Linked DNA regions of Caenorhabditis elegans. The protein of the gene in region 1 interacts with the protein of each later gene in a pairwise test. Each region holds a gene or a part of one and is shown on either strand. Other genes may lie near its edges.

Region 1 (5,019 bases):
GAGCATCCTAATATTTGTACCTACTTCAAAGAAACTAACACGTGGCGCTTTGAAAGGGAGTGAGAGAAAGAGAAACGGAGGGACAACTCTATGTCTGTCTCTTCTTCTTCTTATTTTCTAATTTATATTTACATCTGCTTTCTTCTTCTCGTTTTCCCATCTGATGGTTTCCATAGTAAGTATCTGGGCTCTGATAAGCAAAGAGACGGCAGAGAGACTCGTGAAGGGCTTCTGGAGCAATAGTAGCTGCATGTGATGGACACTATTTGGAGTCTCCACCGTTAATCCCTTTTCTATTCCTGGAGGGATATTGGTGGGAAAGTGGATAGAAAAAGATAAAGCCTATGTTACACTAAGTTTATATAGAAAAGAGTTGAGCACAGATAGAGAAAAAGAGAGGGATTTGTTGAATTTAGATTTGGAACAATTGAAATAGTGAAAAACTGTTTTGCAAGTTCACAAGTATCCTGAAATTCATTCGTAGAAAATCTACATAGAGAATTGTCACTTTACTTTTGCAAATTTACAAAAACTGTCCTGTTGCGCTAAAACGGTAAAAACTGTAATGCCGCAGAGTAGAGGTCTCATTTGCAGTGATTTAATACATTTTCCATTTTTCATAATTTTCATTCTATTTAGAGACACTTCACTTTCAAACAACAAGGTTGCAACGGTGAATCTCTATATTTATAGAGATTTGTCATTCCATTCCCCGTAGATGGACTTTTCCCGTTTTTTTAGGTCAAGAGAAAACGGAGCACTATACTGCGGATTTGATGTTGTGTTAAAGGATTTGAGAAGTCTAGTTCTTCTGATTATTTCCTGATTTTGGCCGTTTCAAATTGGTCACACTCTTCCAATAAGCCTGTGGATGTACAAAGACTTTTATTCATTTTTATTCATTCAAAAGAATGACAAGAAAATTAATAAAAAGTGAAATGAATTTAACATTTCAAGAAAAAGGAAATTATGAAAAGTTGGTGACTGGTCCCCACAGTTGAAGATTGTAGATCAGCGCTGAAAAATAAAAAGTTAGTTTTTGAATAAAATCAAAAAAAGCTCGAACACTTACATTTTAAAGGAATTAGAAAATTTAATCAGACTCTCCAGCCATCAACTCCCAGAACTCCTCGAACTCAATCTTTCCGGAACCGTCCTCGTCAATCTCGTCGACAGCCTCCTCGAGTTGTTGATCGGTGAGGTCATCGGCGATTTCTTTGAGAAGAGCCTTCAGAGTTGGTCGAGAAATATATCCGTTACCCTGAAAAATTAATAATTAAAGAATAAAAAGCAAAATCTAAAAGTACAAACCTCCTTGTCGAAAAGACGGAAAGCTTCACGAAGTTCTTTCTCCAATGTTTCCTTGTCGACAGTGTTTGCAACGGTGTACACGAGAGCGCAGAACTCGTCAAACTCGAGCTTTCCGGAACCGTCAGCGTCGAACTTGCGGATCAGTTTACGAAGGGTCTAAAAGAATGAAGTTAGATGCCACATAGATTTAGAAAAATCAAAATCATCAATTCTATAACTAAATTTCATAACATATAGTTATATCTTACTTTAGTCGACATAATAAATGCTTTTGTTCAGATGGAATATCAAAATTAATTATTTCACAAACATTAGTAACATGTTTTAGTGGCGAAAATTAATTGAATTCAGTTGAGAAACAAGCCGCAGAAGATAGGTCGGATAAAAACAAAATTTTAGGCAAGAGTAACCCATTTATATTTTCGGTTATCTTACTCAGTTGGCCTACCTAATCATTACCGTGAAACCTAAATTTAAAAGAGTTGAAAACTTCCTAATTTGAATTATCACTCTTCTGAAGATCCCCTAACTCTACATAAACCAAAAGTTCCAAAATGATTTACCTTCTCATCGAAATCCTGTTCCATTCCATGCATGATTTGACCGATCTGAGTGGCCATGATGTATCCTTGCTTTCCTCTGTCGAAGGCATCGAAGAACTTTTGGTATTCTAGAAAGTTTTAATGATGATTTTTCAATCATAAATATAAAATATCTTACCCTCAATTTGGGATCCGTCGATTTCAGCAAGAATCTCTTCGATATCCTCAGCCTATAAAAGTATAAACATATAAAAATTCAAAAAGAAATTTATTGAAGACATGAGAAAGCGGGACTCACCATGTTGTCGGAGTTTGTTGTGCTCTGGATAAGCTTCGTCGGGCAGAAGCAACGGCGGGAGCGAGTAGGCGGAGGAACCCGAGGGCGGGCTTTTCTTTCTCACAACGGCATCATCGTCTCCTCCACAAAACACATTCTTGGTGTTACACTGGGTGACAGATGCTCCTGATCAACGGGCATGAGAGATCATAGAGGGCGAAGAGACGCAGAATGATATCTGTGTGGAAGTTGACGATGATTTTTGCGAAACACAGGATTCGAGAGACAAGGCTCTCCGAGAAGGAAGGGGAAACGGGAGGAGAGTACGAAGAAAGATTGGGGGGACAGGCAACCAAGGATCAATAAAAGTCCAGGAAATAGAAAAAAAATAATATAATTGGAGTAGAATTAAGTACAGAAATGGAGTTGACAGGCAATATATGTAATTGAACTTTCCCAGAATACTTGGATTCTTAGCTGTACATGGTGACCAGAACATCTAGCCTTTTTGGGCTTCAGAACACAACAACGTTTTTTTTTCAGTTTTTTTAAATGTGCACTGAGTATGTATATCTTTACAGTTTTATATCAAACGTTTAATTTGAATACTATTTTATAATTCTCAAGTTTCTCCAGTAACTTTTTATCGCGTGACACACCATTTTGAATTTAAACTTTATGTTTTTCCAATTCAGTTTAGTCGAGGGGGAGGAGGTAGATTTCTAATCATTCTTATTTATCATTTGACACTAAATTTCCGGATTTCAAAAGGAAACCATAATCGTGAGTTTGGAGCTAACAAGTAACTTCGGAAAACGTTATTTCTTTTGAAGAAGAATGTCGAAGAAAAAAGTGCAGAATACGAACAAAAAGATGAAAGAATGTTGGCTGACACCGATCCCACAGAATGTGGAAACTGTAAATATGACAGTTTCATTCAAGATTGATGAAAAAGATGTCGGAAAGCCTGCGAATGAAGTTATTAGAATTAATGAGAATTCGATGGTTTCTTTCCTATCAACAAACTCGTTTTACAATGGATTGATATTGAGTAAGTTTCCAACGGCCGGATAACCCGAAACTATTTTGAAGCGGGCCAACTTCATAACAGAATCTTGCAACTTCTTACAAACCATTATTTACTTTAGTTTTCTAACAAATTTCTGCAGCTTTTCAGATGACTCTTGCAATTTCTTTTGGCAAACTTTATGAAACATTTCGCTTAGAACTGCTCCGGTTTTTGCAACTTTGTAACATCTCTTGGCAATTGTTTATAAATGTTTGTTTCAAGTTGCAAGAGTTTGCTATGAAGTTGTGATGTTTTGCCGAACAAATGTATATTTATCCCCGATAAAATAATAGGCAAAAATTGGTTTGACTGGTACAAGGGTTTCAAAACTCTTCTGTCCACAATTATACATTTTGAGCCAGGAAAAGTCAATTTTCCTCGGAAGACTCCCTAGTTTCTTTTCCACTTTACACTTTTCCAATTAATGTATTAAACCAGTTTAAAAAACTAGATTAAAAATACTTTTCTTTCAGGCGACAAAATAGTCAAGGTGAACGGTGCCAGTGGAAATATATCCAAGTATCAGACAGAGCTCATGAAAGGTGAAACATGTAGTGTTGAGGTTACAAGACGGAAAAATATTATCCCAGCGACCAGAGAACGGTTGAAGAAATCGGGATGTGTTTTGAGACGGGACAATACGTGCTTTGTTATTGAAGTTGAAAAGGTATAATTGAAGAAAAATCGACATGATTATCTTATTCGAAAATATACGAAATCTGAACTTTGCAATGAGGTTTTGAACGGAGTTACAGAATGACCAATTAAATTCTAGAATTTTGCATGTTTTTTGAGTATGAATTGTTTTTAATTTAAAAAATTAAAGACGAAATTATGAAAGTTTTTTTGACGAAATGTGACGAACTGCTTGTTGCTTGACAACAAAAATTCTCATAAAATAATTGTTTAAAATAACTTTGGATTATACCTAGAACTTATGTCCACCCCTTAATAAATACCATTTACTCCAGACTTCCGCAATGAAAAGTGCAACGGTTGGAGTTACAGTGACATATATTCAAAAACGTGGCATAGTAACTCGAATCGAGCCCAGCTCACTCGCTTCGATATTCTTTGGTCGTGGGGATCTGATAATGGATATAAATGAAGAATCCATTCTGAACGCAGAGAAAAATGACGACTTCATTCGTGAGAAACTGTCGGGAATTTTGAAAGGAGAAAAAGTCACATTTTTGGTTGAAAGACCGGTTTCTGTGGAATCTGCAAACACTCTTCGTCATTTGATTGAGTCAGTTGCTCCAGATCCAGATGTTAAGATGGCAAACGACGCGATATGTATTGGTCGGGTGAGGACTTTTTCTTCAAATTGTACCGGCTGAACGTTTGCTTGGAAAACCGGCGTCCGGTTTTGCAAGATTTAGGACGATCCGTATGCTGGAGCTTCAACAAAAATATTATTATTAAAATAACTAAACACTGGGTTTCTTAAAATCAGAAGTATACAGTAAGCCTGAAACTTGAGAAATTGGTCACCTCAGTTTCCACATCTACTCGGTAAATTATTGCTCCGAGAACATGAATAACGCGTGTTTAGACCACTGGATTGCAATCAAGTCGCCGAATTTCAAAAATTCTTCTGGAATAAATCTCTAGTCGTCACCCGCCTGCACTTTCTGAGCAGCTATTTGTAGAGTAATTTAAAGTGGAGCCAAACTAGAAAATATACAATTTCATACTTTCTTAACAAGACATACGCATTTTTCTTTCAGAATGCAAGCAACATGCACTATAACGTTCTGAAAAAGTTGCAACCAAAAAGCATTTTAAGTCGGGATGTCTTCAAAGGGAAAAATCCTCGT
Region 2 (5,145 bases), on another chromosome or scaffold:
TATAATTCTCAATTATTTAATTACAAAATTCAAGTTCTAATCTGCGAAATAACATTAAATTACCGGTGGAGTGATTTCCAATGTGGTATCCTTCTTTTCCTTTTTAAATTTTGCACAAAACACGAGAAAGCTATTACATGATATTGCAAAAAGCATCGAAATAACAATTATAATGATCATTATATTGACAGTTGAATTGTACGCTTGACCAAATGAAGAAAGTAGAAATACATTTTCATGGGTAAATTTACTTTATCTTTTTCAAATCAACGTTGTTCTAATTAGTGGGAAGAAAATTAAAAGAACACAACGTGATTCAAAGTTGATATTTTACCATCCACGTTTGTCTCGGTAGTTTTTCTACGAGCATTATAAATTTGTGTGTCGTCGAACTCCACTCCGCTTATTTCTACAGATTCCAGACTAGCGCGGCAGGGACATTTTTTCTTGAAATTTCAAAGTTTGCACATTCGATTCCAATGAACGTTTCAAACTGAGTCTACTTCATATATTTTCTGTGGTTTTTTAGCCAATGTTCTTGTAATTTGTAAAAAAAAATATGTAACCTAAACCTTATTTTGAGCAAAAATTCATTTTCATTCAATTCACACATGAAAGACAAAAGGCATTGATAATTAAAAATCATAAGTAATTGTTTTAAAAATTATATATCATAGCGAAACCGAAAGCACGCGATGAACATGAAAAGCGAAACAAATTTGGCCGAAGAACCGTTGAAATCACAGAATATCGTCTCCAATTGCAGATCCTTTACGAGAAAATGATCGAAGAGAGCCAGTGTCAAATGAGTGACTTACACTGAGATACGTACGAGATATTCTGAAAATTTCAAGATTGATTTGGAGTTTGTTCAATTAGCAGTATTTTCTAGGAGATATTGTGCATCTTTAGATACCTATGTACTATTAAAATTTTTTGTCACATAAGAAAATAAAATGCAGAATATCTACAGAAAATACCTGAAGTTTGAAAAAAAGGTTCACCGCAAAACACTCGAAAACAAGATCAACCACACTGAAAAAGTCACACAAACCAGTAGACAAATTCAAAAAAAAAGAGAAGTAAAACAGTGCGTAACATGTTTGAATGAATGGCGGATACCTTCGGATACTGTTCCACACTTGCCTAGTACCACGCCGTGACGTGGATTGCTGAGCTCGAAGCAGAAGCTCATTTTGACATTCATTGTCACTTATTGAGGTACGACTATCACCAACATCTTCATCGTCGTCCTAAAAATGTTGAAATTGATTTTTAATAAAAAAGGACGCTTACTTTGACAATGACATAATAAGCAGTTAAAAGTGCTGCCGTGTTAGCAGCCATTGTTGTAATGGAGAGAAGCGGTTGCAGATGTCCAGTCACCAATGCTAATACCATTACTGTAAGATAATCTGTTTTATTGATATTCTTCACAACGAAATTCAAAACCAGAGGAAGAAGTAATTGAGAAAACCCTCTGAAAAATAAAAATAAACACGAATTCAATTTCGTCCTTACTGTATCAATATAATTTATGATGGTCGAAAAATTGTCATTACGCGATTCCTGATTACCTATATAAAATTATATTATTCGAATTCTGAAAATGTTCCCTACTAATAGGCGGGTAATTTGAGTGCACCCTAGGCCAAATATCTTTCATTTAAAAAATTGAAACGGGAAAAAGCAAACGGAAGTTCGAGGAATACCACGTGATGTTATAGGTCATTAATATTTAATCATCATCTATTCAAAAGGGTCAGACTTTTCTAGTTTTGAAAAATCTTGTGAACTTCATGTTTTGATGCTTATTTTATATGGTTGCTTGAAATTAAACGTGTCTTCAAACACGAGGTTCAAAATTCTTGATCAGCAAAAACTGAACTTTAGAACACCACAAAAACTGTGACTCACGGGCATTATTATTCTGAAAATGATTTATGGTGAGCGACAGTGTTGTGATGAATGCAGTTGGAACTTGAACAACGAGAAAACTTATTGTTACAGTCGTTATTAGAATTCGTGTTTGATCTCGAGGAGTTCTTCCGAAACGATTGCTGAAATTAATAGAATTGAATAAAATTGGTGGTGAGAAAAGTTTCAAACTGAAATAGACTAGAAAATAAACGGAAATTGAAGGAAATTAGTTGGAAATTAAGACTACAGTTTTCAACTTCTTTTTGCCTGCCTGGAAGGCAACATTTCAATTGAATTAGAAGACATTTTTAAATACTATTTCATCTGAATTCGTTCGAAAAACACCGCCTTAAAACTAACTGTTTTGTCAAATCGCCCATATCAATTTCGGGTTCTCGAATGAATCCAACATGAAGAAGAGCCAGTAGAACTCCAGGTATCACAAATTGAACAGCAAAATCCGCAAGTGGGAGGAATACCTGAAAAATTGGTTTCATTTGAGACCAGGTACATTCAGAGTACGACATCAATTCTGACTCAATAATTTTTGCATAAAACCTCCCCCACATTCATGATCTACATCATCAAAATCATATAAAATAGACAATGTTCGAATGAGAATTCGTATCAGATCATTTATTCACTTTTCATATTTTCTCTTTCTAATTTGAAGAGAACACTATGTACTCAAAAGCTGTACTACTTGCACTTCTGGTTTGCTCAGCTCTTGCCGCCCCAAAAGCAAAAAAGAACCAAACGGGAAATGAGCAAAATCAGCAAAGCCAGTCAGGTCAGAGACAGACTGGACAAGGCCAGCAAGTAGGATCTCAGCAAGGATTCGGAGGAATGCAAGGAGGATTTGGAGGGCAATCAGGATTCGGTGGTGGAAGCTCCCAGGGAGGGTTCGGTGGATTTGGACAGCAAGGTGGATTTGGAGGAAACTCTCAGGTAACCTTTCAACATAGCTCTAGAAACCTGTTTCAGAAAAAAGTAAAACAAAATTAAAAATTTCAGGGTGGATTCGGAGGACAACAAGGAGGATTTAGTGGAAATTCTCCGGTAACGTTTAGTGCTTCATACGCCTTCCACGTATGCCTAGGTCACCTTGAAGGCTCCCTACGCCTATTTTGCAGTCGTCTTTGATATCTAGCGGCGCGACTGATATAGTAGTTACTAGGCACGCAGGCAGGCATTTTGTGACTCATGGAAGACGTAGTACTAAATCAGATACTAGTTTTGCAATCATGATGTCACGAACAGAGTAATAAAAAATATTTCCAGGGTGGTTTCGAAGGACAACAGGGAGGATTCGGTGGATTTGGTCAGCAAGTTGGTTTCGGCGGGCAGGTTAGATAGGAAATTTGTTTAGAAATTTTTAAACGTAACAAATATAGGGAGGATTCGGAGGTAACAGTCAAGGTGGATTCGGAGGTCAGCAAAGCGGTTTTGGTGGTCAAGGACAGCAATCAGGATTTGGCGGAGGTTTTGGAGGAAACTCTCAAAATGGATTCCCAGCTCAGAGACCATCCCAACAGTCTGGATTTGGTGGACAAGGAATGCAATCTGGATTTGGAATGAACTCTCAACAGGGAGATTTCGGTGGACAGGGACAGCAATCTGGATTTGAAGGAAACACACAAGGACACTCCCAAGGAGGATTTGGTGGGCAGTCGTCTTCTGGATTTGGAGGTCAGCAAGGTGGGCAAGGTGGACAAGGTGGATTCGGAGGATCTACTAGAACCGGTGGAATGCAAGGAGGACAAGGAGGACAAAGTGGATCAAGTGGGTTCGGTGGATTCGGAGGCTTGGGCCAAGAAGGACAACAGGGTGGACAGGAAGGATCCAATGGAAACAACAACCAAGGATTTTAATATGTGATGTTCAGTATTTCATCTAAAAACTGGTAATGTGTTCCACTGCTCTTTTTAACGCTAACTTTAATGTTTTATTTTGACATTTTTAATAAATATTGAAGCATTTTTACAAACACCTCTAAACTCCTATTTCAAAGTCCACTTCGAACTTTAACAAATCGGATTATTCATTGAACAATTTGAACATCAAACGTATGTTTTTACTCGACAGTTTTCAAAAACCACATTTGCCGAACCACGTCATAATCCCATAGAAATCGGTGAAACACTGTGTATAGAGAATATCCGTTATTACAGTAATGTTCAAACGTTAAACAACTATGATTTTTTCGTTTTGTTTTGGAAGAGGGAATCCCCGAAAAGTTATCCAACCGGTATTTTCTCGATGGTATAAAATGAGTTTTTATTGGCTCAGATATCATCAACTTCTAATTTTCAGCCATTTAAGGTTTGTTTGAGAATTTATAACCTCACTTCTAAATATTCGATTACAAAGTTTTAAAAATCCTAAATTTCAGAAAACAATGTCCTACTCCTCTATGATTTTTGTTCTCCTCGTTAGTGTTGTACTTGCCGACGACCAACCAATTCCTCCACCAGTTCAACCAGGCATGGAAGGACAGCTTGGAATAGGGCAACCAGGTTTCAATGGACAACTGCCGGGACAAATTGGAGGAGTTCAACCTGTGATTGGAGGAATTGGGGTTCCAACACTTCCAACTTTACCAACTCTGCCGAGCCTGCCGACACTTCCAACAATCCCACCACCAGGAGTTGCACCAGGTGGAGTTATCGGACAACCAGGAGTTGTCGGCGGAATTAATGTACCACAACCAGGAATATAAATTTTTGCGCTTTGTCTTTTTATTCATATTTATTGTATATATCACAACTTTGATTCAAATAAACTTGAATTTGAATTTGAAAGAAAATTTGAAGGCAACATTATCAAAATAACATTATTTGGGAGAAATTAATCTCAGAATATTGAAGAGCATTAAAACTTGGTTTTGATAATTAGTGAATAAGAACCAACTATACTGGAATTATCTATTCATAAAAAATTATCATGATGTCTTTGTCTGTTTTTACAATAATGGTTACAATAATGGTTAATAATGGTTAATTTACAATAATTACAATAATTTTTACAATGACACATATTTACAAAAATACCATAGCCTGCTTTTAACGCGTCTATAGTCAACGTACATGTGCAGTTTTTTTTTCATTTTTAATTGAGCTTTTGGAATGAAAAAGTAAGAAGAATCACTAACTAAATACCGTTTTCCAAAAATTTTGCTCAACATTTTCTAGCTCAAATGCTGTTTCGATTTAGAGATCTCAAACG

What was found.
Region 2: the proteins of pat-10 (region 1) and K01A6.4 interact in a two-hybrid assay, tested with the Caenorhabditis elegans proteins (one large-scale study listed by BioGRID).

What each region holds. Positions count from the first base shown.
Region 1 is NC_003279.8:5,017,910-5,022,928, forward strand, and holds pat-10 (EF-hand domain-containing protein), read right to left. Parts: upstream 2,178-5,019; 5' UTR 2,155-2,177; coding exon 2,152-2,154; intron 2,084-2,151; coding exon 2,032-2,083; intron 1,982-2,031; coding exon 1,875-1,981; intron 1,468-1,874; coding exon 1,312-1,467; intron 1,262-1,311; coding exon 1,094-1,261; 3' UTR 1,073-1,093; intron 1,018-1,072; 3' UTR 874-1,017; downstream 1-873. Other genes in the region: C46H11.6 (PDZ domain-containing protein), read left to right, coding at 2,968-3,181, 3,673-3,866, 4,171-4,506, 4,930-5,019.
Region 2 is NC_003282.8:11,737,741-11,742,885, reverse strand, and holds K01A6.4 (Glycine Rich Secreted Protein), read left to right. Parts: upstream 1-2,581; 5' UTR 2,582-2,601; coding exon 2,602-2,868; intron 2,869-2,934; coding exon 2,935-2,979; intron 2,980-3,201; coding exon 3,202-3,267; intron 3,268-3,314; coding exon 3,315-3,791; 3' UTR 3,792-3,897; downstream 3,898-5,145. Other genes in the region: K01A6.5 (uncharacterized protein), read right to left, coding at 138-180; K01A6.7 (Collagen-like protein), read left to right, coding at 4,319-4,639; K01A6.6 (G_PROTEIN_RECEP_F1_2 domain-containing protein), read right to left, coding at 741-840, 1,123-1,253, 1,297-1,403, 1,918-2,060, 2,281-2,399.